Drosophila melanogaster: one gene and its partners. The protein of the gene in region 1 interacts with the protein of each later gene in a pairwise test. Each region holds a gene or a part of one and is shown in the gene's direction. Other genes may lie near its edges.

Region 1 (6,784 bases):
AGTGCCCGAGCAAAAGTGCTAGCATACTTTAAGACAGGTTTTTTCTTTCAGTGTTGTCATTATAGCGAACGAAACGAAACGCCATCGCAGATCAAAGCAAAGTCGAACGTCACTCGCAAGCGGGCAAATGCAAATGTGGATGGGAACCCTGACTGAATTCGCAATGTCCTGTCAACATGCGGTTTCCTAATTGCAGCATTTCAAAATCAGTCAACAGGCGTTTGAGCCAACAGTGGTGGCAAAAAAAAGGATTAAGCCCTTGCAGGCTGGCAGTGGGTGGGTTGGTGGGCGTTTGGTTGGTTGGTTGGTTGGTTGGTTGGTGTGAAGGGTTCCGACTCACCTGAAACAATTAACGCCTCATTGGGACCCGTCGTGTGTATGTTGCCCATCGTTGAGTCGTTCCTCGTCGCCGTCTACTTGTTGGTCTCTATTTATGTTTTATTTGTTTGCTGTTTACTCCTTTTGCCGAAAGCTCCGCTGAAAAGTTCTGCCGCAAAAACGAAACAAGAGCGCACACACGAATGTATAATTAGCACACCGGGAAAAAAAACCATCTAAATATTGCTAGCAATTTTATGGAATTTATACCGATTTTTAGTAGTTATTAGTTATTAATTAGTTATTAGTAAAAGCTTTGAAGGTTTGGTATAATATAGGAAACTTTTTATCTTGTAAAAATATTATTATTAAAATATTATTTTATGCATGTTCTTAATATTTTCTCGCTGTGTGTAAATACATTTAAAAAAACAAGATAGAAGCTTTCAATGGGCCGCCCGAAAGTATGGTACTTATTATATTTCCAGATTGCCATCAAAACACACGCGCAATTTTCTTGTTTTTATTTACATTTGGTCTCGATTCTTGTTGTACTTGAATTGCTATTCTTCTTTTTTTTTTGTTTTTGTTTTATATCGTTTTTATTAAAAGCTTTTTTTTATCTGTCTCTAGGGAGCAGCAACAACAATTAGCAATGTGCGGCAACTTGTTCTGCATATAATACCTGCTATATACAATACGTATATATATACGTATATTCTATAGTGTATCTGAACGATCGAATCGGAATGTGGTGCCTGGAATTAGGAACACTTGAGGAGTTTGGCGGGGTGGGGGGAAATGTAGAGCGGCCACTTGAAAATTGTAAACTGTGCTGGTGATTTTTATTAGTTTTATGGCGCTGCTGGGGGACTTTTGTGAGCAGCTCTCTATCAAAGTTCTAATAAAACACAAATAAGTTGCGAATAAAAAGTAGAGCAAGGGGGTGCGGCATGACGTAAGCAGCCATGTGTGCGTGTGTGTATGTGTGTGTGTGTGAGGGGGAGAGAGAGAAGGAGAGAGCGAGTACGTTAGAAGGAGAGCGAGAGATGGGGCGCGTCTTATCAATGAGCTCATCATTCTTGCACTGAGAAAAATCAGAACAAATTCCCAGCAACCACAACAACAACAAAAGAACACGGTGTGTATAAATACCAAACAACAAAAATAACCCGCACACACAGACACGCACACGCATACACACTAGAAAATTAACCCTTAGTGTGTGCGTGCATTCTGATTGGGGTGGCTGATTGGAGTTTCTAAATAAACAAAGTTTGTTATTGCCGCTTTGTTGTTGCTGTACCAATGTTTATTAGCAATTGTTTTTAGCTAGAACTCATGACTTAGACCGCGTTTAGCAAAAACCGGCTTTACACTAGATTATTCGTAAATCATCGAAATGCGAGCCGGGAAAAAAGTTTATCAGCATCCCACAGTTTGTTTTCCGTTTTTGTAGTTGTTGCTCTGCCACTGCAACTTCCAACTAGTTTTTCATTCACTCACTGGCACAGTAAAAAAAAAATTCAAAAAATATTTCGACTTTAATTGATCGCGTCGACGCAGTAAATTAATTCCTGATTTTCAATTAAAACGAATCAATTGACGAAATTTTTACCGTTCTTAAGAACCGAGTCCCTTTACGCTGGAGATGGAAAAACGCCGATTGTTTGCTTGCATCGATGCTGTCGCTTCAAAAAGTAAGATTATCGATTGTTAGCGATGTGTCGAACATCTCGACGATATTTTAACTATTTATAGTTTCAATTCGAATATATTTCAAGAAAATAAAATTAAAACGAATAATTCACTAGGTTTTTAATCAATGTTTTTATTCGCTTTCACACTTAATAATTTAACCAATAGTATTGTGCACCCCTCGTCACGTCCAGTCGATATGTATTGCATAGAATTAGCCAGTCTGGTTATCGATAACTAGTCCAACTGGAGTCTCGGATGTAAACAAAACTGAAATAAAAAACAAAAACAAGAGAGTGAATTTAACAATGTCGCGCGGCAACGAATTGGTATTCAAAGCGAAGAAAACATCAGAGAAGATATCGGAGAACATACACATATTCGCCAACGATCCATCGCTGGCGTTTTTCCGTGTGCAGGAGCACGTTCGCAAGGTTACCCCAGCGATTTTCGAGAAACGCGATGAAGTCTTTCAGCTGCAAAATAATCTCCAGGGACATTGCTATGATATGGAATACGGCATACAGTAGGATCAACTACTAAATAATAAAATAATATATAATTGAATCTATTTAACCGCAGAGCGCTGCGAACGATTGAAAAATCGGAGAGCATATTTGAGAACATCCAGGAAATGATCAAGGCTTCAATATTCCTCAAGCAGCAGCTAAAGTACGAGGAGAGCAGAAAGAAAGTGAAGAAGGATAGCACCAAATCTTCCGTCTACAAGCGATTCTCCGCCCATCTGGCACTGGATCTCCCGGATTTACCCGATTTCGGTGGCGTTATGCGGGAAACTAGCCAGCGAATGGAGAATATGATAGGTCCTGGCACGGCAACAGGACGTACTGAGGCCCAGGCCGCGACATCCAGTAATCCTGGCGAGCTCCAACGATCCTATACGACACTCCACTAGATTAAGTAGGTTCTAGCATTGTACTCATAGCTATGTATGCATTATTATTCTAAAATACATTTATTTTAATTGTAAGACATGTACTTTTATCATAACTGACTACTCCTGCTTTATAGTTTCTATAATATGCATAAAAAAAAGTATTAAAATATTATGAAAATTCTTGAAATGCTTATAATCGAAAACCGTTCGATAGTCGATAGGCCGTTCAGTCGCCACTCGAGCGAGCTATCGATACCTTTTTAGCTGACACTTGAACAGCACTTGTTTTATTAGATAATATTGCTAATATTATTATTACCTCGACCAAGTCGCTGCCGTCAAGATGAACCGAATTTGCCAGAGTCTCCGCCATCCGAGATACCAGATTCTCGCCACCACAGCACCGCAATCCCTGCTCACCCGCTTTCTTGCGGCGGATGCGGCCACCGGCGCGGCAGTGGACAAGGCGACAATGGACAAGCTGGTGCGCACCAACAAGGTGGTCGTCTTCATGAAGGGCAACCCACAGGCGCCACGCTGCGGCTTCAGCAATGCGGTGGTGCAGATTATGCGGATGCACGGTGTCCAGTACGATGCCCACGATGTGCTGCAAAACGAGTCCCTGCGACAGGGTGAGTACGCTCCACATATGCATTAGCGTGCCAGCGTTAAACCTTATTGCTTGCGTGCAGGTGTCAAGGACTACACCGACTGGCCGACCATTCCGCAGGTGTTCATCAATGGCGAATTTGTCGGCGGTTGCGACATCCTGCTGCAGATGCACCAGAGCGGCGATCTCATCGAGGAGCTCAAGAAGGCGGGCATCATTTCGGAGCTGCTGAAAGCGGAGGAGGCTAAGCAGCAGGACGACAAGGCTAAGTGATGATTCAAAAAGAGCGCCCAAAGATCAAATTCCCTTCCTAAATCTGTTAGTCACGCAACGTTTTTATTATTAAATGTTTAACTCATAACGACAATGGTGTGCGTTGTTCCGTGTGATTTAAATGGCAGCCAATGGCATATAATCGCAGGCGCTCATTTATGATTGTGATTAAGATATAGCAGGCTTTGTAAAAGTACCATTATAATGTAAGCAAGCATTCTATAGGATGAATTCAGTTGCGCGTCCTGCGCCTCTCGTCGATTTGCTGCAGGAGGCATAGGATTCGACTGCGTGCCTGCAGAGCATCGTCCACCTGCAAGAGGGAAAAGCACTGTTGTCGATGCTGCGGATTAGTCATATTCACCAGGATCTCCATCAGGTTGTCGGCTATGGAGTGGCGCATCGTTTCCTCCGATGGCATTGGTGGAATCACGCGACTTGGACGAGTTGGAGTCGATTGAGCGGGATTTCTAAGTGGCAACTGATTCCCGACGTACTGCTCTTCATTGGGATACTCATCAGTTTGCTTTTCCAGATCCTTTGGTACCTGATTTTCCATCTCAATATCTTGGTTCTCATTTAGAAGCATTTTCTGATTAATCTTTAAATATTCTGAATTGTCGAGTTTATCTGCAGTCTTTGCATCCTTTTCTGCTTTTAAAATGCGGTTGTTTGCCAGATTCTCAACTTTAACTTCCATTATTTCATGCTTTAAGTCCAAATATTTATCATTTCTTGTTGATAGCTTCTTATTTTGAGATTCATGATTCCGTTCTGTAATTATAATGATTTTCATTGTGTAATCCTTTATGTCCTTGAACGTATTTGTATTACCCATTTCGCTGAGTGTTTAATCTAGTTTCTCGTGCCAATAATAAATTATAATAATAGCATATTTATAAATTCATTATAACTTCTATGTGCTATGATTATAACTGAAAGTCCAAGCGAACTATAAAATGAAATCATAAATAAAAATCGGGAATTAAACAGTTATTTATCGAAGCTTGTAATTATGTTAACCCTTATATGGCTCCTTTTTTTTAAATTATAAAATCTTAAACTTTTTATTGAGTTACATTAAGAACCCAAAATTATTCAGAATAGCAAACACAAATCGTTTCGAAAGCCAAACTGTTAGTCAATTATTTTATCTTTTCAATTATCCAACTATCCACTTCAATTTAAAATCATAAGCTTACATATTAATGCGATTTTTTTTGCTGACTCACCCATATATATTCATAGTTCCTAATTCGTTTAATTCTCAAAAGTTGCCGCAATCAGAACACATTTTGTTGATTTTACACATTTGATTTATTTAAATATACATATCGATCAATAGTCTTTCATATATTTAGTTACATACAATATAATACATATTGATTTAATTGGTGTTTTCGTACGTTTTCGTTTTTGCGGATTTGTGTTTTGAATTCGTTTTACATCAATTGCTTGTCGTTACGTTTGTTAATCGTATTATTTACGTTTAATTTTATAATGCAGCGATGCAATGCAGTTTGGTGGTAGTAAAACGAAATAAAAAAAAACTTATACCATAACTTGCTTATTAGTTAACAATAATCAAAAGTGTTAAAAGCGATATGCCATGTATATGTGAGGAAATTGCACCTCTGTGTGTGTGTGTGTGTGTGTGTTTTTTCTTCTTCTTCTCAAATTATATTCTGTTTTTTGTGTAATACTTCGAAAGTTCAGCGTTTTGAATAAACAAGTGGAACGAGTGTGTGTGTGGTGGTGTCTCCGATTTGTGTGCGGATCAGACAATGGACGACTTGTCCAGAAAGGATGAGGTCTCCATCAGCAGCTCGCTGCTGCTGCTCAGAATGTCGTACAGCTGGAGCGGTGCATCTCCGGCGATGGGATTCCCGAAGGGAAAGAACGACGACAGGGTCGATAGCTGCAGATTGCCGGTAACCGATGTGAGTCCGCTAGTGGGTGTGGCGGCCTTCGCCGTCGGCTTCCTGCGCCGCTCCACACCGTCGACGAACTCGGCCTCGTCCTCCTTGTCGGGCTTCTCGTCCTTGTGCTGATTGGGACGCGATTCGCCGGCGAACTCGTAATACGCATCGGGTAGATCGTCAAAGTTTTGATAATCCAGGCAGCGCTGTACCTTTGCTATGTTGCTCAGCAGCAGGCGATGATAGAGATCCACCTGCGGCTGGCCGCCGCCGCGTATATCCAAAATGGGCAGCCAGCGGTAGTAGCACTGATCCCACACCTGCAGATCGAAGATGCGATGTGCCGGCTGCAGGTAACGATCCTGCGGCACTGACGAAGCGGTCGCAAAGAGCTGCGGATTGATGGTGTTGCGCGAGGGTGTGACACCACTAGCGGCGCCATGCGCTCCCTTACTACCCACCGCCAGGGATCTGCGATGCGCCACGGCAGCCGCCTGGGCGCCAAGATCGCCCCTTTGGCGCTGGTACAGCGGATTGCTAAAGAACATTTTGTCCTTGTCCGAGAACTGCTCGCCCCAATCCCAAACGGGACGCAGGACGAGCTGCGAGTCGGTCACCGCCTTCAGTCGCTGGGCCTGCGTATCGAACTGGAAGGTATCGAAGATGGGCATGAAGCACGAGTCCCACAGCGTGGTCAGGTATGTCTGCGTGAACTCGAACTCGTCGGGGAACTGCTGCAACAGCTGCCACACGCAATCGAGGAAGAGCAGAAACACTGGACTCTGTTCGCTGTCGAATAGTTCGGCATTACCGCCGGCCGGCTGGGCAGGATAGACATGACCCAGGCGTCGCTGAAACGGATGCTCCAGGGCCACCCACTCCTTCTGCACCAGCGATTGGAAGCCATCGATAGTACGGAAATGCGGATCGAGCAATAGCTGCGCCAGACTGCTAATCACACAGCAGAGATCACGGCCATTCGACTCCTGGAGGACACAGGTAACGCCGCTGCGCAGCGTGGCAGACGCTTCACTAGCATAGCGTAGGCACAACGACACATAGAACAGC
Region 2 (7,433 bases), on another chromosome or scaffold:
ATCTGCAGGCCGAAAGGAAGCAAGCCAGAAAGGAGCTTCAGGATCTGAGAAGATCGCTTCCATTACTCCTAATCTTCCGCTTGTTATCACTAGCCAAAATGGGCAACGAGGAATCCTCCCCGGGAGGCAGCCCCCGCCTCTCCTCGGGCTACACTTCTTCTATACACCAGGATCGAGATTTCAGTGCCAAGATCCAAACAACGGAGTTTGACCTCGGTCAAGCGGGATTTACCGATTCCGGCGAGGAACGGGAGATCGTTTACCTAAAGGAAGAGGTCAAGAGTCTGCGTAGCCAACTGAAAGAGCTAAATGCCCGGCACTACGAAGCCATGGAAACAGCAGACTCACACTGGGTAGATCTGGAGCAGCAGTACAAGGAGCGCGAGGAGGCCCAACAGGCCAAGGAGGCCAGTCTCAAGCAGAAGATAGCCCAACTGCAAGATTGCCTCCGGGAGGATTCCCGAGCGGCGACCGAAAAGATCCAGCAGCTGGAGGAGGGGGAACTGTCATTGAAGTCCTGCCTGGTCCGCATGACCAAGGAGCATCGCGACCTGCTCACCGAGAATCGCACTCTGCAGTGCAGCTTGGAGAGTCTAATGGCCAAAATGGAAAAGGAGGCGGAACACAAGATGCCCCTAACAGAGGCTCTAGAAAACGAGAGGCGCAAAACCCAGGCACTGATGGATGACCTTATCTTTGCCAAGAAGGTGCAGCAGAACACCGAGGATCAGTTGAGGCAGGAGACGGATGCTTTGCGCACCCAGATCTTCAACATCAAAAAGGATTACCTGCACATCGAGGTCACAAATGGCGAGCTGAAAGAGGAGGTGGGCACGCTGGAGAACAAAATCCGCCAGATGGAGAACCAAATGAGGGATTCGGAGGAGCGGGCGCGCTGCCTGGAGGACGAGCTGCGAACCAAGGACGAACAATGCCAGCTCTTGGAACGCAAACTGGGCGTTATGCCCGAGGGCTACAGCCTGGCCGATGAACTCCATGATAGTCCTGCGAAGCGGGCCAAGAAGGATGAGGTACCGAGCCTCCAGGCTGCCAGCCAGGGACTGGGCGTGGCCCTACTCGATCTCGAGGTAGGTCTGGTAGTATTTAGAATTTTACTGAAACCTTACAGCACCTTATCATTACAGGGTCGTGATTTTGGTCTACCACTGCACAAGGACTTCCAAGCAATTGCCTGCAGTGTAAAGCAACTGGCGGATACCCTTCTCTCACAGAGTCCGTCCGAGGTGAGTCTCCAAAGCAAAGAGCCCGCCAAGCCAGCTGGTTCGGAACCCGAAGGCTCCAGTTGGGCTACGGTCCAGGATGCCTCCTCAGAAAAAATACCTGAGACAGGACTATCAACTGTGACTAGTCTAGAATGCCAGGGAAATCAAGAAACTCAAGATAATCAGGTCATTCAAGAAAATCCGGGAAGTCTAGAAAGTCAAGTCGATTCAGAATATCTGGAAAGTCAAGAAAGAAATCTCGTTAGCAGCAAGAAATCTAGTTATGTTAGTGTCGTGACATCCTCATGCCGGTCAATAGTACGGGAATTAGCTGGGGGATCTGCCCAAAAATCTGAACTACACCTTGGTGAATCAGACAGCAGGGCGAATCCGCAGATAATTCGACCAACAGATGAGCAAGAGAAGAAGATCACCGCGGTGCCCTATTCCATGAGACAGATGTTCAACGAGGTTTGTTCTGTGGATCAGCAGCACGAACCCGAGCTCAAAAAGAAAAGCAAAAAGCGAGCAAAGAATAAGAAGGAGAAGCATCCAAGACCAAACAGTCACCAGCGAAAAATACAGCGTTTCCTCTTCCGTCACATTTACCGTCCACGTACGCTCAATCGAACTCTGGGTTTCCCTCTTCAAAAGAGCCTCTCCTGCAGTAGTTTCCACTCTCTGTTGTCAGTTCACTCGGTTCACTCGGCCAGATCCGGAATTTCCCTGCACTCCCTTCACGCTGAAGTTGTTAATCTTAATTGGGAATCTCTGGCCAGCGTGTCATTTGTACAAACGGACGAGGTGAAAACCCTGGAGGAGGAGGTTCAGGTCACGACACAGTGCAATGAAAAGGAGATGCAAGTTCAACCAGAGACGATTGAGTGTGGAACACAGGTCGATGTGGGTGTGGAGCAACGACTGCTCCTGATGCCTCTGAGAACCAGGTGCTTCGTGGATTTGATTCAGGGCGCCGTGGACGGATACCTCGATGTTGCCGCATTCCGGACCCGTCTTCTTCACTTATGGGAGGGCGGAGAGGATTTCCGTGAGCATCTTGAATTTTTGCAAGACATGTGGATTGAAAAGAGTACTCAGAAGACGCAGGAGAGCTATGAAGGATTTGTGGCTGCTCTGGACTGTGTCCATAACCTAAAGTTGGCCCTTAAGCCTGCATCTTCGGCGCTTTTGCAACAAATCGAGCAGCGAATCCACACAAGACTTCTGCTCTTCCATAACCACAAGGCGGAATCGGAGTTCTGCTGCACTGTCTACATTCCCGTGGAGAGGAGCAATTCCACCTTGTTCAGAGCTAAGAAATAGAGCTTTATTTCTATGTAAATACACCAAACATAAATGTAAATTACCAAGTGACTGACCCTTATTTCGGTCTCCTTGAAGGTTGCCGTGTATAAGATCTTCAGATTAGATCTAATTATAGGAAGCTAACCAGGAACATTATAATTCAACATCAATAGTTCTCTGAGATTATTGTCTTTGTATAGAGTAGACTGTTTTATCGGCAGATTCGTAACGGCATCAGATTAATCCAAATTGTTTAAACGTTGAGCATTATGATTGGCGAGTTTGAGGACTTAGACATCTTTTATGACTGCCGCAGTGACGACGAGGAGACTCCAGATCTGGAAGTGGGCGGTGGTGATGAAGTGATCTGCAAGCAAGCGCCTCGATTTGACGATCCTGTCCAGATTCGGGCCGTTTTGGAGCGGGCAGCCACTGCCACCCAGCGGTTGCTAAGGTGCTACGGAGGCACTGATTCCGTGCCAACTCGTCCTTTGATGACACTTTTCTATCCGGCCACCCTGGAGGTCAGTGCCCGTCTACATACGGACGACAAGTGTCCTTGCCCCAAGGACAGGCAGTGCAAGTTAATCGGCGACCCAGTGACCCTGAGGCTGCCAATCGAACTGAATCCGGAAAGCGGCCAGGTCAAAGTCAACATCTTCCAGCCCAAGTCAATTGGCACATTTTGTGGATGCAATGCACCTGGAAATCAGAACAAGTCGAAGAGCAGAAGATCGAGTGTAAAGTGGTCCAACAAGGATGAAGTGTGTCCCGATTGCCAGGAACCTAATCAAAACACGTAAATTTTAAACTTATCAAGAGCCACGTCTTGCTCACTTAGTTGTTTTTTCTCAAAATTCATTGGTGACTAAATTGGATTATGTTTGGGAAATGCATTTTTTTCACTGGTAATTGCTGGGTATGTTGGGTATCTTTATAAATTTTCGCTTTGCTTTGGCTACACCACACATAGAACAGCGTAGGAAAATCGAAAATTCATAGGAGTTACTAGCAGGCCAGTGAGGTCACGTTTTCAATACTGTCACTATTGTGCTCCATTTGGTATCAGTATTTTAGACACAATCGAGCAGGCAACACACACTTTAAAATTTAATGTGAGTTCAGAGCTTGATTTGGGGAAAACAGTTCAAGCTCTTTAAGCGTGATGGACGAGGAATTCTCTAATCAGCCCATCGATCCAAGCATCGCTCGGAGTGACTACTCCCGGAGTCATTTCGTTAACCAGAGCTCCATGACATTGAGTCGCGGATTGGACTCCACCCGACTGCTTTTCGTAGGCGAAAACTTCCAGCAGACGCGCAGCGAACAGGACTTATTTTACGACTGTCAAGGTCCGGGTGAGGACTCGCCAAAGGAGGGCCGTAGTGCCACCAGCCGGTGCAAGTTCGATGATCCGGCTGCGATACGGGATGCCCTGGAACGGGCGGCCAATGCCACACAGATGCTACTCAAGAATTTTGACAAGTCAGGTGGTTGGAATCAGCCATGTGCCGTCACCCTGGAGTTGACCGCTCGGTTGGTGGACCCCAAGAAGGGTCGCGCTGGTTGTCCGTTGCACGGAAAGCCCGTCACCGTCCAGATGCCGCTGGAGTTCAATCCGCAGAGCGGCAAGATGGTCAAGTGTCAGCAAAAGAAACAACCGGTCACCAGGCATCGCAAAGAGTCCATCTGCCAGTGCCGCTCGCAGCAGTATATGCGTTCCGGTCCAAGGGCTCCAAAGCCCAGCTCAGGTAAATCCGCCAGCAAACACTTTCGTCCATGTGCATCGCAACAGCTAGCCGAAGGGTCCGCCAGTTCGGTATACATAGGAAGCTGTGGGGATTCAACATCTCAGTGTAACCGTTGCACTCCGGCCACATGTTGCCGCTGGCACGACCCGGGGGCACGGGAGGTCATCTCAATCTCCTGCCTGACCTTGCCGGATATCGAATCAGAGCTCACTCTTACCCCAGTGCCTGAGCCACTGCCAATTGAAGAACCGTTGGTGGAGATAGAACCAACGGCCCCGAAGGAGCACTTGATAATCTATGCTCCAGAGCCGGAACACCCGATCACCGAGTCGGATGAATCCGATGAGCTCTTGTCTAGCGAGCAGGAGATGTTAGGACCGCAGCCGGAAGAAGAAATGGGACCGCCGCCGCCGGAAAGATCGCCGGGAAGCAAGCGGTACTACCTTGCCCTGCCTCAAAACAAGGAGTTCTCCAACTGTTCGCCGTGCCGTTTCGATCCCAGTCCTATTATGGACGAGGAAGGCAATGTGTTTTGTCCCGGCAACTGTGGCTGCTGCATGTGTCCGTGGAAGCAACGCTCCTTTGCCCCAAACCAGCAGCACACCAATGTCAAGGTTTGCCGATGCGTACAGCGCGGCACCATCTTCACTAAGTTCGAGGATCGGGAGGTCTGCAGCCAGACCTCCTACTTCGATTTTTGTCCGTGCCGCGAAAAGGCGGAGGCCAAGTTCTTAGAATTGTACCACGCTGAAATGTGGTCCCGTCCGGAAATCACGCGGGGTCGCGAGATCCAACTCAATGAGATCAAGGAACTGCTCGTACCCACGAGCCATCCAATCGAATAAAATGTGTTTGCTCACCGAATCAAATCGAATCGAATTATGTGTGTTCTAGCCGGGGAATCGAGTTGAAACGGTTTTAGGAATCGGTTCGGTATCGGTTAAGAGTGCTCGAATTTTCGAGCCTTAGCCGCCACAATATCGTAAGCGTGCTAACTTTCCTGCTGATCAGTTTTCTTCTATTATATGTCAATTGTAATCACTTCTCTTTATTGAAATTTCCCACATTTTAAATCCTGTTTACGGATTTGATTTTTTAAGGCATACTTATGTCGTTTACCTTATGTAAGCGGCTAAGGCTCAATGTTTCGGAATATCGTGCAAGTCAAGATGTTTGCAAGAAACCTGAAGTAGCCAAGAATTTTTGAAGGGTTACAGAAGGCCGGCTATTAACAGATTCTTATTTTACCTGAATTGATGTATAAAATCCTTGTTAGATATTTATTTTATCCCAAACATTTCATCCACAGAATGCCCGGCTCTGATGTACATGCAGCATGAGCGACATTCCGACAGCGACCCCAACTCCCGCCATCAACAAACCGAGGCATCCCACATGAGAGACCACTGGAAGCCGTCAAAATCCCAACAGTCGCAACAATCTGATCGTGTAGACCCTCATGACAAGCCATCGCAGACGGCGGTCTCCTTTCTGCAGAAACACCACACGCCTAAGAACCCGGAATCGAAGGCTAATCCAGATGATGGGGCGTCCTGCTCATGCACCGCAAAGAGGTCCAAGTCCGCCGATCCACCAGCGGTTAAAGCTCACACCTGTGCATGCAACACCGATCCAAGTCCATGTGGACTGGGTCATCAGGAGAAATCCAGTTCGAGGAAGCCCTGCTCCCAGAAAACATCGGTTACGGAACCAGAGAAGGCTTCCTCATTCAAGAGTGCTATAACAGCGTGTACCAAGGAGCTCCTCGATCCCTGCACTTGTGGCGCCCACCCACCATACTGGGCTGGTCAAAGCAACTTGGTAACCGGACCATCCTACAGTAGAGCAATGGACCCCTCCTCAAGCACTCTCGCTCCCTTGCATAGACCCGGAGCATCAAAAGGCAGCTTTGGTCGATCCAAGAGTTTGGCCAGTCTGCCTAGTAAATCTAATCCGCCAACTCAGAGTGGCGTCACTTGGTTGTCGGCTTTAAAGGATCCGGAGAGTACATGTTGCTCTTCCAAAGAGGACGAACGTCCTGCATGTACCTGCAACGCTACCCAGACTAATCAGGATCCTTCTATGAGTTCACTTCCTCAGAGCCATCCCAATTATCGCAGTATGACATCCAAATCAAGTAATTTCAGGGCGCCAAACCCGCGCAATCAACCCTCCTTTGGGCCAGGCGATGAGACCTCAGCAACCACACGATCCCAATCGATTGTGGGTCAGGTCACCTGCCTATGCGCATCGGAGCATCAACCCACCAAGGCCTTTGTGTCGAGCCTGGCCGATCGGGAATGCCCAAATGAGATCCAGATTGCGCCATGCCCCTCCACAAGAATACACCATCCATCCGGGTTTGCCCAGTTCACCGATTGTCAGAACTCTCAAGGCGACCCCAGTACCTCTTTCCGTTCTAGGAAAGTGAGCGTTAAGGGTCAGGAGGAATTTTGTGACTGTGATGCTTCTGATAACTTCTCCGAACTGTCCGATCCCATCCAGACCAGTCTTCATACGCACAGGAGTCTTTCCGGGGGTAGTTGCCTGTGCAACGACGATGCAGATCCTCCGAAGGAACCCGAAAAGGCTACGTGTGTCAGCAAGCAGTGCCAGTGCTCTTCGAATGACGAGCTTCAGGGGATGCAAAGTGCCCAAGCGGGTACCGGCTATCAGACACCAGAGGATCTTTGTGGAAATAGGGCTATGGCCTGCTGTTCTCGTAAGGAACGCATCCTGATGCTGATGGAGAAACTGACCAGTCCTGGTTGCGATTGCGGTATATCTCGCCCCTGCCTGACCCAACAACTTTTCCGGGAACTAACACTACTCCTGAGATCAGAAAAAGATGATGCAGTTGCACCAGCGGATGAAGCTAGCCCACCGTGCCTAACCTTCGATGAGTGCTGTACGGCCCAACATGCTGGCAATGGGGAAGGCGATCCAGTCGAAAAACCCCCGTCAAAGAGAGAGCTCCAACGAGTCGAGTGCTTTCATCAACTGGAGGAATACCTCTGCAAGTGCTTCCTGCCGCCGGCAGAACCTCAGATTCCTGAGACCGATATCTATGCTTTTGAACTAGATCCGGACTTTCCACCAGAACCTGAGCCAAAATCTCCCAAGGAAAATGACAACATGCAACCTTGTCAGTGCC
Region 3 (7,243 bases), on another chromosome or scaffold:
ACTGCACCCACTGAAGATGTTGTGGATCCATGGAATGTGGCCAGTAGTAATGACGCGGGCGTCGACTATGATAAGCTGATAAGTAAGAAGACATTTGCAAGGCAAATTATTAATCAAGTTAATCAAACGACATGTTGACACGTTGCAGAACGGTTTGGCTCCAGCAAAATCGATGAGGAGCTTATCGCGCGTTTCGAGAAAATCACGGGAAAGCCCGCCCACCACTTCATCCGAAGGGGCATGTTCTTCTCGCACCGGGATCTTCATACGATTCTAACACTGCGCGAACAGGGCAAACCCTTCTATTTGTACACTGGTCGCGGTCCCAGTTCCGGATCCCTGCACGTGGGCCACCTGGTGCCCTTCATCATGACCAAGTGGCTGCAGGAGACCTTTGATGTGCCGCTGGTTATTCAATTGACCGACGACGAGAAGACCTTGTGGAAGGATCTGAAAGTGGAGGATGCCATCAAGCTTGGACGTGAAAACGCCAAGGATATTGTGGCCATTGGATTCGATGTCAACAAGACGTTCATTTTTAATAACCTGGAATTCGTGGGGTAAGTAAATTAAAAAACTTTTAACCTGTATAATCTGTATTATCTATATTACTTACAGAAAATGTCCTGCCATGTATCAGAACATCATTCGCATCCAGAAGTGCGTTACCTTCAATCAGGTCAAGGGCATCTTTGGCTTCGGGGACTCAGACATCATTGGCAAGATTGGTTTCCCAGCCGCTCAAGCAGCTCCCGCGATTTCCAGCACCTTCCCCTTCATCTTCGGCAACAGGAAGGTGCACTGCCTCATCCCGTGCGCCATCGATCAGGACCCATATTTCCGCATGACTCGCGATGTGGCTCCACGTCTTGGTTTTCCCAAATGCGCGCTCATCCATTCGACCTTCTTCCCGGCGCTGCAGGGTGCCAAGACGAAGATGTCGGCTAGCGACCAGAACTCGGCTGTTTATCTGACGGACACGCCCAAGCAGATTAAGAACAAGATCAACAAGTACGCCTTCTCCGGAGGACGCGTATCTGTGGAGGAGCACCGCAAGCTGGGCGGAGTTCCGGAAGTTGATGTCTCCTATCAGCTGTTGAAGTTCTTCCTGGAGGACGATGCCAAGTTGGAGGAGGTGAGAGTGGCTTACAGCAAAGGCGAAATGCTTACGGGCGAGATCAAGAAGCTGGCAGTTGAGGTAAGTGCAATGATGATGCTACAATCTTCCCAAAAAACATTGTAATTAATGTGCTCAAATGATCTTCTTAGACGCTCACACCCATTGTGGAACAGCATCAGGCCGCCCGCAAGCTGATTACGGACGAAGTGCTGGACAAGTACTTCGAACTACGACCCCTGAAGTTCGGAAGTTAGAACGGTAGCCGAATTGAGGTACCTGCATTTGCTTGACATCGATTCTTACTACCAGTTTATATGAAATTAGCTTAAATCGAACTAAGCGATATTAGTTTAGCACCGAACCGACTAAGGCACTTCTATGTAAATAGCTATACAGAATTGATCTATGCCTTGGCTCTGAGTCCGTGTGGCGCCCACTTAATGCATCGTTGTACTCGCTATTTATTTTATTTTTTACACAGCGTGTTTATTTTTATAAAGCAGAAAACAATAAACTTCGGCTTCGATTTGCAATTGCCACCACAGTGACCCACATTTGGGAAGTTGTTAGCAAGTCTATACATTTTCCTGGAAACCCGAAACGTTCAGCCAAGGAGAGAAACAAGTCAACTCTCTAGGTTTCCCTAGAAACTACACTCTGCTCATATTCATTTCCGATTCCGGGCAAAGGTGCCTCTCTGGTTAGCCAGCTAGCAAAATAACTCTCGACTTCGGAAAAATGTAAGTAATTTTCTCACTTCTAGTTGTGTGTTGTTTTTTTTTTCTGGTAACCCGAGATCTTGCACATGAATTGAATTTCGCGGGCTATCAGTAGATATTCTTCTAGTTTTTTCCTTGCGGTTTATAGTTTCAGGAATTCTGAATTTTCGGAAGAAAAAAATAATTTGCTAGTTAATTACTATTAATTAAAGAAGATATGTAGTAATAATGGAAACTGTGCTCAATATCTCAGTCTTTTAAGCAAGTATCTATTTCAATTAAGAAAAATCATAAAAATAGGTATAGAATATGTAATATAATTTTTAATAGGATTATAAGAGCACTTAGCTGGCGATCACGGTTTTTCATTGACTAGAGAGAAACCAAATTAGTTTGAAATTAGAATTGGGCGAAGTTTGGAGCTAGATTGGCCAAGCTTAGGTTTCTTACCTTCATATAGACGAACCTATATTCATAACTAGCTATATGCATATGTGTGTATTTTTTAATTAAGTCAAAACACTTGTGTTTACATGCGTCGAAAATACACTCTTTCATATGGGCTGAGTTCCAGTGTGGGTGTTTGTACATAGCGACGATCAAAAAGAAAAACTCAAACTGAAGTTGTGGCGACGATCGTCGATCGCTGATCCCAGAGAGGGATCCGACATAAGTCGGACGCAACTCCAGCCTGCCACACGCGCCTCGATCACCATTCGCAGCCGTCGGAGTCGGATCGATCGGACAATAGCGAGGAAATTAAGCCGCTTTGTTTGCACAGCGATTGGATGGGACAAAAGGACCCTCGACGACAAGTTGGTCCCCTATAGATCACCTGTTGACACACGTACAAAGCGGTGGCCTCTTAAACTAGACGAGATGTGGCCCTCATCAACCCCGGATGAGTAGTCACGTCTCGAATCGATGGATCGATGGTGAGCCATTCATCACGATCGCCAGAGTCGTCTCTAATGCAACTAAAAGTAAGCAAAACAAAAAGGTACAAGCTAAAAAAAAAAAAACCAACCGAGTCCAGGTAAACCTGCTGCAGTCCGGCCAGAACTCTTGATCGGTCATTCGAAAAGCGGCTTAAGCGATGACGGATCAACTGCTGAGCTCCACGGCCGGCGTACCGGGTGATCCACCGCCAGTTTTGGTGCCCGTATCAGCCACCACCGGTGGACCCTATTTGAGCGGTGGATCCGAGGGCGAGGCGGAATCATCGGAACAGCCCGTTCTTCTAGAGCTCGGTGCCCCTCAATCGTCCAGTTGTCCGGCAGTTAGTCTCAACTACACCCTAACCGCGGATGGAGCAGGCTTGCTGGCATATGCGCCAACTCATCCGCATAGCTACTCACCCAGCGTGATGGGTGGCTACGAGAAGGAAGCGCACAATATGGGTCTGTTGCCACCCACATATAGCGTTATACCTCAGCCGGTGTCGATGTGGCATGCTGGCCAGGTGGCCACCGGTTCGCCAGTGGGCTTGGAATGCAACAAACCCAGTGAGCTGGTACCTCCGCCCATGTATATGAGCTATAGCGGCGGTAGTATAGCCAATAGCACTGAGGTGGACATCGCCAAAGAGCACAATCCCGCCTGGCGGGAGAAGGCGCTGCAAATGGAGAAGGACTATAGACGCACCGCCTGCGATCGGGAAAGAACCAGGATGCGGGACATGAACCGAGCCTTTGACTTACTGCGCTCCAAGCTACCCATATCCAAGCCAAATGGGAAAAAGTACTCCAAAATCGAGAGTTTGAGGTAAGTGAAAGTATCTGCGGTAGAGCTCTGTAATATATTTATATGATCTTTGCCTACCCAGGATTGCCATCAACTACATTAATCACCTGCAGGCCATGCTGCGGGAGAGCTCCGTGGGTCAAAATGGCAATGGATGCTGTGCCTGGAGCGGCGGAAGTAGTTCACCTTATGATAATGGCAACGATCATTGGGGAGCGTAACTTGAATTAACGAATATCAAAGGGAATTCATTTAAATATTCAATTTAAAACTTGTGTTATATTATATCCGCAATTTGCCAAAGTCATTCCATGAACCTATAAAAGTTAAGGTCCATACTTTACGATTTTGAGAAGAAAAAAATTGAAATAGCTTTCATTTTATATTAGTTTATCATGTTAACCTTTTTATAAGTGCAATAATTAAATAAATTATCAAGAATACCACGTATGATTTCAATTATCATTTGCCCCAAAAACTAGATAACAAAACCAGGCGCAACTTTGTCTTTTTAGGCTATATATATTTAACTTTACTTTTCAACACTTCACATTTTGATAATTTACATATGATGAATCGTTTGAAGAACTGACTGACTTGGCGAGTATGTTGTGCATATTCGTATATATATATAAACCTAAAAAGTACAACAAAACAGGAAAATGTAACAAATTTCTATGGAATTGTTGCGACGCCCGCAACTGCATTGAAAACTGAAAAGTTTTTTAATACTTATTTATAGATAATAAAACCAACTACTGCGACAGCTGTCCGCACACACACAAACACACAATTTATCCGCTGTTGGATTGAAGTAGAAGTTGGCAAATTTCAACTTAAAAGGGGGACGAAATAACAAAGCGTAACGCAAGCTCCTCTCGCTCCTCCTGCTCCTCTCGCTTCTCAACTCCTCCTGCTCCTCCTTAGTTGTCCTTCTTGATGCGGGTAGAGGTCATGCGGTAAATGATGGAGTCCCTGCCGGGATCCATGGCAGCGATGGCGTAGCAGATAGCCAGCAGAGACAGTCCGAAGACGACCATGAACCACAGGATGATGTTGAAGATCACCGGGTAGTCGCTGCCGTAGTAGACGGCCAGGTTGTAGGGATTGGTGGTGGAAGCGGCAATGGTATCACGCTTGGCACGCGATGCTGCCACGTCCTTCTCCGTGGTCTGGACAAACAGAACCGAGTCGCTGGACTTCTGGGAGGCAGCAAGCAGGCGGCTGATAGCGGCCGACAGCAATTTGTTGGCCTCCTCCACGGCCACGGACTTCTCGCCATGAGCCTTGGCCACTCCATCGACGGAAACGCGCAGCATCAGGACATTCGAGGGCTTGGCCATCTCAGCCAGATGATCGGCGGCACTGTTGATGAATCCAACCTCCTGGAGGAACTGCTTGTCAGCGGTGTGCAGAGAGGGGTTCAGGTGCTTGGTGGGCTTGGCGGCTGGGGCCTCGAAATCACCAAAGCAGGACTTCCAGGCTTGAACCTATAAAAAATATGTGGTTAAATATACATTGGTCTCTACGTTATATGCGTAAGGGGGAAGGCACTATGATTCACTCTATAAATCATGTGATTAATTAATTTTTAAGGTTTAATAACTATCTATCATATTTGTGGGAAGTTATAGCGGATTGTAGAGAAGCTTCTTTAAACGAACTTTCAGATGAAGATCATGCTTTCTGCGGTTTGACAAATTAGCTAACTGACTAACGAAATGTGCTTTTCCCCTTTAAGACACCACTTACGCCATCGTCGAACTGCTCAAAGTTAATATCGCAGACGGGCTCGTTGGCTGCCTCCAGTTCGGCGGCCAGGGCGTTCAGAGAGGCGTCCGTTCCGGAGCCTGTCAGCTCGTAGGTCTTGACGTTGCCGGCGGTGGTCACGTGACCAATGCCCTGGACATGCACCAGAATGACGCCCTTGGCCAGGTTGAAGGGATCGTTGATGGTCAGTCCGTTCCAGTTGGTATCGCCGCTGACGGCGTTGCCCATGGAAGCGTAGAGTACATCACCCACGTAGTGGCTTTCCAGTGCATCGTTGCCCTTGAAACTGATTGCCTTGGGACGGTTCAGCACGGTGAATTCGCCAGAGGCATTGACTGCAAAATAGGAAGACGTAGCTCATAAGTTCTGTAGAATCTAACATATTCGTCTCCTTTGTCCAAGATTCTGCGCATGCATGTGGGGAGCCCTTTGGAGTCCCGAGTTCTGGGTGTCACCACCCCCAAAGAGGAATCGATGAGTACAGAATATCCACTTTGTGACCGCTTTCCACTTGCTGCGCATGCATTTTACTTGATTATAGATGGTAGATCTACTTACTGGCCGCTATAAACAGCGAGAAAATCACGAAAACTCTCAACATTTTCAGTTTTCCGCTGGACTTTTAATCATATGACGAACGACTGCAAAGAAAACCTTTTCTCTTCCCCGATATCACCCTGACTATCATGTGATGAACAGGGTTGCTTGGGGTCAGTTATCGAATGGGTATCAGTAGGGTTGTCGAAGAGTGCGAACTATCGATTGTACTAGTATTTCTAGTTTTATTTATTATGTATTTTTATTTATTCAATAATTTTGATGTATGTAATATTTATGTATGTAAGCATTAGATTACATCGATTTTAATAACACTTGTAAGCATTGCATTATTACATTATTATTTAATAAAAAGATTCGAGTAATCAGGCTTAAAATAATGTATTTTGTAATCACCTTTACAAAGTTAAATGTAATAAATCTATGTTGAATTCAAGACAGACATTTTCGTCATCTTAACAAAAATTAAGGGTTCACCATGCGGACATTTAAAAGTTATCTATAGTTAAAATACATTTTAATCGCGTAGGGCGTCGATTTCCAATCGAAGCTTCTGAATCTTAAGCAAAGTCAGTGTGCGCTCTACTTTTAGATTGTCCGTTTCCGTTTTAAGAAACTTGGTCTTACTCTGGAACTGACTGATCTCGGCTCGCGCCTTTTCCGCTCGCAATGCAGCTAAACCATTTCTTGGCCTGGCCTCGATGATCGTCGCCGATCCATTGGCTAAGTCATCCGGGTTTTGCTGCAATATGTAATGCTGTTCGATAATCGTTAAAATGTCTAAGATACTTATCAAATTGTGAATATTTACTTCTTTGCTTTCGTCCAGGTACTCAGAGTATTCGGGATTTTTAATTTCAACGTTGGAAATTTCAAATTCCAAATTTTGCTCGCCAGACTCTTCCGTTTTGGTCAGTTTCCTTTTGCGAATTTCTCGTTTCACTCTGGGTTGCTCCTTGGGCGCCTCAGCCTCGTCAGCATCGTCCAGAATTTGTTGTATCTGGAATGAAAAATAACCATAATGTAAGTATTTGATTTAGTTTACGCATTTTTCACCTACTCACCTTAACAATGATCTCCTTGCCTTCGTTGGCATTATCCAGGCCGCCATCATCGTCGCCCGAAATCTTCTGGATCTGCATAAAAAATATATTTTAGAGCATTAGCGATATATAAGTAACATTTAATTTACATATGAATGTTCATATGAGACGATATGGGTTAGTAATTTCAAAAGTCAAATCATTAAGCACTATATATTGTATTCGGACAAAGTTCGAACCGAATATTTGTCAAATTACTTGGGGTTGACATTATAGTGTGCAAAGTATCT
Region 4 (9,903 bases), on another chromosome or scaffold:
GCTACGCCAGACACTTGACACCAAGTTCTTTTACTTCTCCTACCGCTACGACCTTACCAATTCGCTGCAGCGACAGCGGGAGGTGGCACAATCGCGGCCTGAAGTATCCGGGTTGCTCCAGCGCGCTGAGCAGCGATTCGTTTGGAATGGCTATGTGCTGCGGCAGTTCAACTGCGATAAGATGGAGAAGTTCCAGCTGCCACTCGTCCTGGGCTTCGTGTCTATCAACCAGGTGCAGATCAACGGGCAGACATTCTTCTGGAGCATCATCACCAGGCGTTCCGTGCAGCGGGCGGGCACACGGCTCTTCTGCCGAGGCAGCGACGAGCAGGGCCATGTTGCGAACTTCGTAGAGACCGAGCAAATAGTGGAGTTCAACGGGCAGCTGACTGGATTCGTGCAGACACGAGGCAGCATGCCCTTCCACTGGCACCAGCTGCCCAATTTGCGCTATAAGCCACGACCCGTTCTGGTGCCGGGCAAGGATCATTTGGCCGCCTGCGGGCTCCACTTTAAGGAACAGATCCGGCTGTATGGCAACAATGTGGCTGTGAATCTAGTGGATCACAAAGGTGCCGAAGGCGAGCTCGAGGCGACCTATGCCCGCCTGGTTCGAGAAATGGGAAATCCACAAGTGCGATACGAGTCTTTCGACTTCCACAGCGAGTGCCGTAAGATGCGCTGGGACCGGCTGAACATACTCATCGATCGCCTCGCCCATGAGCAGGATCAGTTCGGTGTCTATCATGTCTTCGACGACGGCAAATTGGTGTCCACGCAGACTGGTGTCTTCCGAACGAATTGTATCGACTGTCTCGATAGGACGAACGTCGTGCAGAGCATGCTGGCCCGCAGGTCCCTCACTGCGGTGCTCCAGAAGCTGGGAGTGCTTCATGTGGGCCAGAAAGTGGAACATGCCTCCGACATTTTCGAGAGCATTTTCAAGGGCGTGTGGGCGGACAACGCGGATCTGGTGTCGCTACAATATTCCGGAACGTGTGCGCTCAAGACCGACTTCACCAGGACGGGCAAGAGGACCAAGTCTGGTGCCATGCAGGACGGCAAGAACTCGCTGATGCGCTACTATCTGAACAACTTCGCCGATGGCCAGCGGCAAGACAGCATCGATCTTTTCCTTGGAAAGTATCTGGTCAACGACAACGAGGGCGGTGCCGTGCCATCGCCGCTGGAGTCGAAGCATGGCTGGCGGTTCTTCACCTTCCCCTCGGTGCTGCTTGTGGCTGTGGCCATGTTCATGATCACGATGACCTATCCGGCCGAGTTTAACACGGAGAACCTGCTGTTCATGCTCTTCTGGGGCGCAATGATCGCTGTCAGTGCCACGGGCATCCTGCACTACGGCGTCGAGTTCGTGCAGTGGCCGCGGCTTTTTCCGCCCATCTCCTTTCGAGACCCATGACGTTAGTGTCGTCTAGCAGAGTCACTGGGAACTACCTCTGCAGCTAAACTGTCCCATTGCTCCGAGAAAGAACAATTGTAAACCAATTCTGTAATCGATTCGACTTCCTCTCAATTTCTGTTTTGTTTTATTCTGTTTTTGTTTAGTCTTAAAGCCCCCCCCAGTCCATTCCCTTCTGCAACTTGTTAGTCATTATATACACAGATCACTTACACTTAGGCGAGCTTCAGGCGGCTGGAAAAGGGGAATGATTGGGGTTTCGATCGGGAAGAAGTGGAGTTGTGAAGGCGCCGCTTATTAACTGCGATTAACTGCAATGTAGATCAATCACTTTTGTAGAACCATTTAATGACATTAAATAAAGTATTTTACGCATTGCTAGAAAACCTCAGACCGGCGTCTTTCTATCTACTTGTGGAGGTGAAATGTAATTAATGATATGGGTATATGGCGTTTATGACAACCATAAAAGATGGCCAGTAAAGGTTAAGAGTACAGGTTACCCAGAGGGTGTTAATCATATAAAGAATGTCATTGTTGATATTTTAGTAGGAATGCAGAGCTCTTAGCTTTTTATTTATATATTTTGAATCGTAGGCAGGCCTTTTACATTCAGTCGCATAGATCCATTTCGAAAATCAGTCTTTCCTTTTCGGCACGTCGTCAAAATCTGAATTCAAAATTCAACATATTTATTTTTCGTCAAAATTAGGTTTCAGTGACTGAAAATTTCTAAAAACGTTTTCAACACATAACAAATTCTTTGGTATAGTAATTTTGTCAAATTTCTAGTTTTTAAGCTTTTATATGAGAATGGACAAGTCGGAGAAACGCTCTAATCTTGCTGATAACTTCCTGTATATGTTGGAGTTCATGGTGGACGATCTGCTGATCACTCGTCCCAACCTCTGCGCTCCGGAGGAGTATCCCACTTGCACGGAGATCACGTTCCGTTCGGTTTTCCTGAACATCCGCGATCGGGAGAACGGAAGCTGTGTCAACCCCTGTTCGCCCAAGTGCGGCAAGTGCACCCTCTTCACGCTGGAATCGCCGATCACGGACGAGGACGTGATGCACATTCACGTTTACAAGAAGCGCACGGAGAGCTGCAAGTTCCTGCTCGGGCTGACCGAGCTGCCGATGAAGCCGATCTTCGATAGGGTGAAGAAGGAGTTCTATTCACAGAACATAAACTGGGAGAGTAACGTCGAGTCCCATTTGTCGCGAATGCCCAAGCTGAGGGGCCCCTGCAAGAAGGCCAATGACTGTGTGTGCTACGAGAGGAATAGGGAGCGGCGCGAACAGTGGTGTCCCACCTCAGAGCTGACCAAGCGGATGCTGCCGCTCTTCAACCTCTGCAAAATGCAGACGGGCAATATAGTGCTGATCCTGAGACTGGTGTGCAATGGGCCCTCTGTGGTATCCTCCTTCCCCGTCCAGAGACCAGTGTGCAAGGATCCCTGCAACTGTTGCTGTCCTTGCCCGCCCACTTGGCCTGCTCCCTGTTCGTCGCCATTCGATCCCTGCGATCCTTGCAAGACCGTGCCAGCCAAGAAGACATGAGTAGGAAATGCAGCTGCGAGCCTTTATATTCCGTACTCATTTAGTTGCCATAAGCATTTTTATTGTTTGACAAGGGATGCGCCTAGCAACTGATAATCATTCGCATATCTTAACTATAAATAAAGTATTTGAATAATTTTTATACCAATTCTGGTGTTTCAGTGACTTGAGGAGGCTATTGTCCATTATAATATAATTTAATATTAAAATTTATATATATGTTAGAAATAAGACCTTACTAGGCATTTTAGGCGTAATAAAATCTACATACAGACAGACTCATCTGCCTAAAAGACAATCTTAATATCGAAAATCAAGGAATCAAGTTTTCAAAATTCATCCGATTCCAGTAGCCCTCGCAAATCCAGTCGGTTTAGCAGTTCGAACACCACAGTCTCCCCGTCTGGACGGCCATTCAAAATCAGAATCTAAATTCAAATTTACTCACAAAATTTTTGGAAGTGCGAGTGTTCGGGCATATAAATTTCTAGTTTCGACAAAACAAAAGCCTAGCCAAAATTATTTCCTTTGAAAATGGACAAGTCTGATAAAACTGAGAAAACTGAGAAATCCGATAAGTCTGAGAAGCCAGAGAAACCTCCCAAGATTGCAGGAAACTTCCTCTACATGTTCGAGTTCGTAGTGGACGATCTGCTGATCACACGCCAGAATCTTTGCGCTCCGGAGGAGTATCCAACCTGCACAGAGATCACGTTCCGCTCGTCGGTTTACGTGAATCTCTGCGATCGGGAGGTGGGCACGTGTGTTAACCCCTGTTCGCCCAAGTGCGGCAAGTGCGCCCTCTTCACTCTGGACTCCCCCATTACGGACAAGGATGTGCTGCAGGTGCATGTCTATAAGAAGCGCACGGAGAGCTGCAAGTTCCTGATAGGACTGTCGGAGCTAAAGGTGAAGCCCATCTTCGACAGGGTGAAGGAGTCCTTTGACATCGAGAATCCTGACTGGGAAGACGCCATGCTGGGGCACATCGCCCAGCTGCCCAAGATGAAGGGTCCCACCAGCAAGGGCCTCCTGGACAACTGTGCCTGCTACGAGAAGCTGAACGAACGTCACGAGCAGTGGTGTCCCACATCGGAGTTGTCCAAGCGACTGCTGCCCCTCTTCAATCTCTGCAAGATGCAGACTGGCAACATAGTGCTGATCCTTAGATTGGTGTGCAATGGTCCGACCATTGTGTCCACGTTCCCCTTCAGCAAGGTCTGCTCCCGCAATCCCAAGTGCCCGGAGCCCTGCTGCGGTCCTTGTGGCCCCTGTGGTCCCTGCGGCCCCTGCCCACCACCTCCCAGCTGCGGCTCGTGCCCACCGCCTCCTAGCTGTGGCCCACCATGTCCTCCACCCTGCGACCCCTGCGATCCGTGCGATCCCTGCAGTCCCTGCTGTGGCGGCGGAACTGCCACCGGCGGGCCCATGGATAAGAAGGGCTGCAAGGGCTCGTGTGCCCAGCCTCCTTGTCGTCGCTGTACAATGGTGGATCCTTGTGCCAAGCGAGTTGAGCCTCCGGCAAAGTGCCTCAGGTACTACTCGTGCAATCTGGACAAGCTCTGTCCCTGTGACTACTGCGAGGACGAGTTCGATAGAGGTGACTATAATCTATCATCAGCATATATAAATGCTTCCTTTTAATGATGTAATGTATATACTTCTTCCCAGAATGCCCCACTGTTCCCACAAAGCGTTGCAATCTCTCGCCGATCGAACAAAAGCTGCAGAAATGCGGTCCCTGCGGCGGAATTCCACCGTACCCACGCTTCATCCAGGAGAAGATGCAGGCCGAGCTCTTGAACAAACCGGAAAAGGATCCCAAGAAGGACAAGGATGGCAAAAAGGGTGGCAAGGATGGAAAGGACGCAAAGGATGGAAAGGGTGGCAAGGACGACAAGGGCAAGAAGAAGCGTCAGGCTGGAGGTGCTGTTTGCCGCGTAGGAGACGAGAATAGTCCGTCCGCCGTCTACGAAGACTGCGATCCTGTCTGCGCAGGAGTCCTCCAGGCGACCAAGAAAATTCGGTACAAGGAGCCCACTGTCAGGTGCAACGGACGGGAGGAGGAGTACGAAATGGCCTGTGATGAAGGTGAGCTCATATATGTATGTATTTAGAAAACGATTTCAACTGGGATTTCGAGAATGCCAAGTAGGCTTCGAAATGAACAACAACACAAACGTCTCGTAACTCCAGCGAAACATTTAGTAACATCTAGTAGTCGGGGTGTAGAAGATCACTCGTTTAGCATTTGTTTTATACATTCGAACGGGAAATGTTGTCTGCCGCACAAAATACAGAAAAATAAAATCTTTCGTTGTTGTTACCCGAGTTTTGGATGGAAATTAAAACAGAGAATCAGTACGTCCGAACTATTTTTTTTCCTATCAAGTTAAAAAATTTTCGAAGCGATCCACTAACCCAAATTCAATTTTCATTTCAGCGCGAAAACGAGCTGTGCGGAAATTGCGCCACTTACTGGTGAAGTACAATATCCAAATTGAGAATTGAAGGCTTTCGGAATTGAGATTTCAGCTTGAGCCTAGTGAATAATTGTATTGACTTACACACTCAATCACTCAACCGCACAACATGGCCAAGAAGAGGGGAAGAAAGGGCAAGAAGGGCAAGAAGCCAAAGGTCGACTGCAAGTTCAAGATCACCAATGAGATGCTCAAGCCCATGAACGAGAGTAAGTACACGCGGATCCCTGCACCGAAGCTCGGGCTTAAGGATGATTCATCCCTTCCAATTGGTATCCTCAGATGTGGACGACTGTGATGGCTGCTGTCAGTGCGCCTGCGATTGCGACTGCAGTCCGGAGTTGGCTCCCTGCTTCATCCAGCCGACCAAGCCGGATCCGGGTCCGGAGGCGTACGACGAGTTCGAGGCCTGCCTCAATGGCAGCGGTCTGACCATACGCGTACTCAAGAACACCCACAAGGTGGAGAGCGTGATGGATGGCAGCGAGACTGCGCCCAATCTGGGCGCAGGCGATGATCCCTGCTATCGCGATGACCCCAATGACTGCGAGCCCGCAAAGGAGTCCTGCCTGCACGATATGCTCCAGCGCAGCTCCTTCGCTCGCAACCACATCAAGCGCCGGACCGGCGGCCGCATCATCAACCACCCGAACATCCCCAAGGTGCGAGCCAATATCAAGTACTCTGGGAACGATGCCTGCGAGACCGACAACTACTACGTGCCCTTCTCGAAGATCAAGGAGGCCTGCGACTTCCAGGAGGCCAAGGTCGACTGCTACCGCCAGCGACTCTGCGGCGGATCCGATCCCATCGTGCCCGCGCACTGTCCCGTCCAGAACCAGCGATCATGTTGCATGCAGGTCGAGCGGAAGGACATCATGGACACCATGAAGGGTGTCAATTTGGACACAAGGCGCAAGGGTATCGAGGTGAGTCCATCCTATATTCATTTGCGCAGCACTGAGTGGCCTAAGGAAATCCATATTTCAAGAATGTTCGATCTTAAATCATTAACCACAATCGCCGATCGCCTCCGCATTCCATTTTTTAAGTTCGCCAGTTACGTGTGCGGATGCGGAATGTGGATCGATTGGTAGTCCGTGACTTTGCCCCCCTAAACGTTGTTGCAGGTGGTGCAACTATGCCACTTCTGCCACTTCGGGAAGGCTTTCGATTGCCTCAATTGTGGGGCAGTTGCGTAACATCTGCCAGCTCCAAGTGTGGAGCACTCTTTTCAGTTTGCGGTGGCAATCCGCTACAGCTTTTTTATTTATGGTAATTTCTGCGAAAGATGCAACGCGTTGCATTGAGACTATTTTGGTTAGCTGTTGCATAGTATCTAAAAAGATTTGTCGCTTTTCTTATTTTTCAGGTTTGCTACAAGACCTGCGAGGAGACCGACAGCGACGTGTTCCTAGTAAAACTGGGAAGTAAGGCCAAGTCGCAGCACAAGAAGAATACCATCGAGATCGAGCTGCGGACGCCCAAGCAGCCCGTAACCCTTCCGATCAGCAAGGTGACCACGGAGACCTATGTTTCCGAGGAGATGCTAACCGGTGGCAAGAAGGGGAAGAAGGGCAAGAAGGGCAAGGGCAAGAAGGGCAAGGGCAAGAAGAAGAAGTAGACCAAGAGATCCGTAGGCGGATCCCATTCCCATCGACCGGACTTGACGCTTACCCTTTCGGAACACATCCTTTGGCATTTTGGAAGCGACTCTTTGAAAATTCACAGCAGCAATTATTGAAATTTGGCTCTGGTACTAACCCATTCATATTAACCCGTCCAGTAAGATGCACGAACACTCACTTTTTCGACTAGTTACGTAAATGTATGCTTTTGATTGAATTAAAATTAAGAAAAAAAAAAACAATAATTCTAGTCCCATTTATGATTAGTTGATCTGATCCCTCACTGATTGATCTGATGTAGATACCCTAACCCGCAGTAATCTGCTTGCAAGTGTATATGCCCATCTTCATTAAGGGCACTTAACTGCCCAGTCAAGGCCGCGGAGGTGTTTCATCTGCAATTGAGGCGGGTCTAAAAATAGCCGACAAAACCAATTCGCGATGCAGAACTCTGATGCCGATCCGATCCGATCCGACCATCTTCATCTATTGCACACCTGTAATTAAAAGCCAGAAATCTTCGCGGGAGGGAGCATCGAGGAGGAGGAAAAGCCGCCGTTGGATGCAGCGGCAGCTTAGCGGTTTGGTCACTTTGCAGTGACTATACTATACGGAGAGGGAGAGATCCGAGAGACCAGAGATCGCAGATCGGGCCAGCTGACCGATCCGATCGGTGGCTCGGAGAGGAGTCGAGCGAGGAACTCGTTTTAGTCGCGTTCAAACGCTTTAGTCTGTAAGTTAACACGGCGAGTGCGAACGCAGGAAAGAGTCGAGAAATCGTGAAGCAGTGCCCCAGCCTAGATGTTAACCATTCAGCGGATCGGCCCCGAATGTGAGCAACTTCTGAGATCGGTCCACGACAGACCACAAAACCAGTGAGGAGAGACCATCCGCTCCAGTTCGCTCGATCCAATTCAATTTCTGCCTCTCGCCGCGAAAGCGGAAAGAAAGTGAATTGAGTGGAGTAGATTTGGGCGATTACTTAATCCGCGTTCGCCTCCACGACCAGGCATCGGACGAACACCGGGCTCCCAGTCCGAATTCGAGGGCGCAAATTAATGGCCCTCGTTTAGAGACTCAACCCGCCCCATCCAGCGTTGACAGTTGGGCGGAGAAAAGCATAGTATTTGAATATTAAAAACTAAATCCGAGAGATACCACAACATTTCCCCAAAACTTTGATAATTTAGAAAGCGAAGCTGCATACCAAATAGGCCCCCGATCTAGAGACACCCGAAAGTCCAACCTCCGACGGTCAGTTGGCTTTCAGTTCCAGCTCGAGATCGCAGGTTATAGCATACCACAGCCGACTGGCTTTCCCCGGTTTTCGGTTACGTGCATCCGAGAGGTCTCCGCCAAGTGCAGTTGCAACTTTTACTGGTGTCTAAGATTCGCGTGAAGAGTGCAAATCGGTGATCATGATCCGCCCCACACTTATCGTAGTGCTCATCTCACTGGCCAGTGTCGATTCCGGCCACAACTCACCCGTGACCACCATCCCGGTGGCCGAGCCCATCAGCCAGGTGCCCCACGGCTTCCAACTCGGCCAAAACAATCACATCAGCAGCAGCAGCAACATTAGCCGGAGTGGAGGCGGAAATGGCCGTGATAAGAGAGGTAAGTACTTGGCCCCTTTGAGCCACTTTTCCAAGTGCCCCCATTGTGGCCATCCGTGTCAGGGTCGGAGCCTCTCGGTCTCTGTGATGGACATCTTCGAGGGGCCCTCTCGATTGGTTCGCAAATACTAACGATTGCTCTTGGCCGCACTGCTTTGAATCGAGCCTTTTCCTAATGTGGTCGATGTTGGTGGGCATTTCAAGGGTTCTGCGCTTAAGGAATGCCCCGTCAATCACGCGATTAAAAACATAAGTAACATATGAAGTTCTATGCAAAAATGCATTCGCCAAGGTTTATTTTGAAAATCTTTCAAATCGAGTTATTTGTTATTAATAGTACAGATCATAATAGAATTCATAATGAAAGAGAATCGGATTTGCATAAAATATCTCCACACATTTATCGCTACTTTTTCTGCATAATACTTAAAATTCGCTAGCTCATCGTGCGATTTTCACATATGTAGTACAACAAAAAAAAAGCAGATTTCGGCCAAAAACGTACTGGCTGTTATTAAAATGCTAATTGTGTTTCCCCTGCACCATTTGGCATTTAAATATTTTAGAATTCATAAGCATATGACTGCTGAGCAGCGAATCCCAATCAAATAGATTCACTCCGGAGTCCAACTTTTGCACCGGCTTAATCTATCTACTAATTTTAAATATATATGTATATATATAGTTTTTGTGGAGGTGCGTTCAATGCCCATCTTCTAGATGCATAAATGTTCACAAGAAATCCAGTTTAAATAATATTTTTCTCCACTTTTTTGCTGCGCTGCTTGACTTTGTTTTTTAATCGGAATGCCGGCGACCTCAGAATATTTAATAAAATGCTAAAAAGAAGAAAATACAGACGTAATCAAAAAAGACGTCAAACACTATAGTGTTATTATGCAAAAACATTATTATATTGATTTGTGACCAAAGTTCGGTGACATTTTGGCCAGAAAAGAAGCGTCAAGAAAACGAACACGTGCCCACAACCTTTCCCCCAAAAAAAGTGGCCAAAAGATTAATGGGTCCAAAGAAGTATGAAAACACGAGTTCAAAAACCTTTCGAATAATTACTGGGCATATTAAGCCAGTAAAGAATTTTAATTTGCATTGGAAATTCAATTCGCTCGTCGTGATGTTCAGAAATTAGCCGAAGTTGTCCAAAAATAAACAAATGATTACTAAATATGCAA

Evidence for each region.
Region 2: the proteins of Grx5 (region 1) and CG33191 interact in a two-hybrid assay, tested with the Drosophila melanogaster proteins (one large-scale study listed by BioGRID).
Region 3: the proteins of Grx5 (region 1) and sage interact in a two-hybrid assay, tested with the Drosophila melanogaster proteins (one large-scale study listed by BioGRID).
Region 4: the proteins of Grx5 (region 1) and CG9133 interact in a two-hybrid assay, tested with the Drosophila melanogaster proteins (one large-scale study listed by BioGRID).

Annotation. Positions count from the first base shown.
Region 1 is NC_004354.4:14,834,576-14,841,359, reverse strand, and holds Grx5 (glutaredoxin 5), read left to right. Parts: upstream 1-3,161; 5' UTR 3,162-3,257; coding exon 3,258-3,546; intron 3,547-3,606; coding exon 3,607-3,797; 3' UTR 3,798-3,889; downstream 3,890-6,784. Other genes in the region: Flo2 (flotillin 2), read right to left, coding at 341-389; CG32590 (uncharacterized protein), read left to right, coding at 2,325-2,542, 2,599-2,932; CG14410 (uncharacterized protein), read right to left, coding at 4,030-4,635; CG14411 (uncharacterized protein), read right to left, coding at 5,575-6,784.
Region 2 is NT_033777.3:8,776,097-8,783,529, reverse strand, and holds CG33191 (uncharacterized protein), read left to right. Parts: upstream 1-3,606; 5' UTR 3,607-3,693; coding exon 3,694-5,124; 3' UTR 5,125-5,151; downstream 5,152-7,433. Other genes in the region: CG33189 (uncharacterized protein), read left to right, coding at 2,798-3,331; Pif1A (PFTAIRE-interacting factor 1A), read left to right, coding at 1-1,088, 1,146-1,244, 5,589-5,603; Pif1B (PFTAIRE-interacting factor 1B), read left to right, coding at 5,603-7,433.
Region 3 is NT_033777.3:9,259,435-9,266,677, reverse strand, and holds sage (salivary gland-expressed bHLH), read left to right. Parts: upstream 1-2,535; 5' UTR 2,536-2,935; coding exon 2,936-3,603; intron 3,604-3,664; coding exon 3,665-3,803; 3' UTR 3,804-4,024; downstream 4,025-7,243. Other genes in the region: TrpRS (Tryptophanyl-tRNA synthetase), read left to right, coding at 1-82, 149-560, 619-1,198, 1,270-1,374; ATP6AP2 (ATPase H+ transporting accessory protein 2), read right to left, coding at 4,506-5,072, 5,335-5,687, 5,911-5,953; Ibf1 (insulator binding factor 1), read right to left, coding at 6,428-6,667, 6,722-6,910, 6,975-7,046.
Region 4 is NT_037436.4:1,248,650-1,258,552, forward strand, and holds CG9133 (uncharacterized protein), read left to right. Parts: upstream 1-3,362; 5' UTR 3,363-3,517; coding exon of another isoform or gene 3,518-4,583; intron 4,584-4,654; coding exon of another isoform or gene 4,655-5,074; intron 5,075-5,203; exon of another isoform or gene 5,204-5,344; intron 5,345-5,426; coding exon of another isoform or gene 5,427-5,494; 5' UTR 5,495-5,575; coding exon 5,576-5,675; exon of another isoform or gene 5,676-5,717; coding exon of another isoform or gene 5,718-5,748; coding exon 5,749-6,395; intron 6,396-6,838; coding exon 6,839-7,090; 3' UTR 7,091-7,337; downstream 7,338-9,903. Other genes in the region: Sac1 phosphatase, read left to right, coding at 1-1,420; Bfc (booster for Crq), read left to right, coding at 2,228-2,983; CG9130 (uncharacterized protein), read left to right, coding at 3,518-4,583, 4,655-5,074, 5,427-5,494; tfc (triforce), read left to right, coding at 8,513-8,711.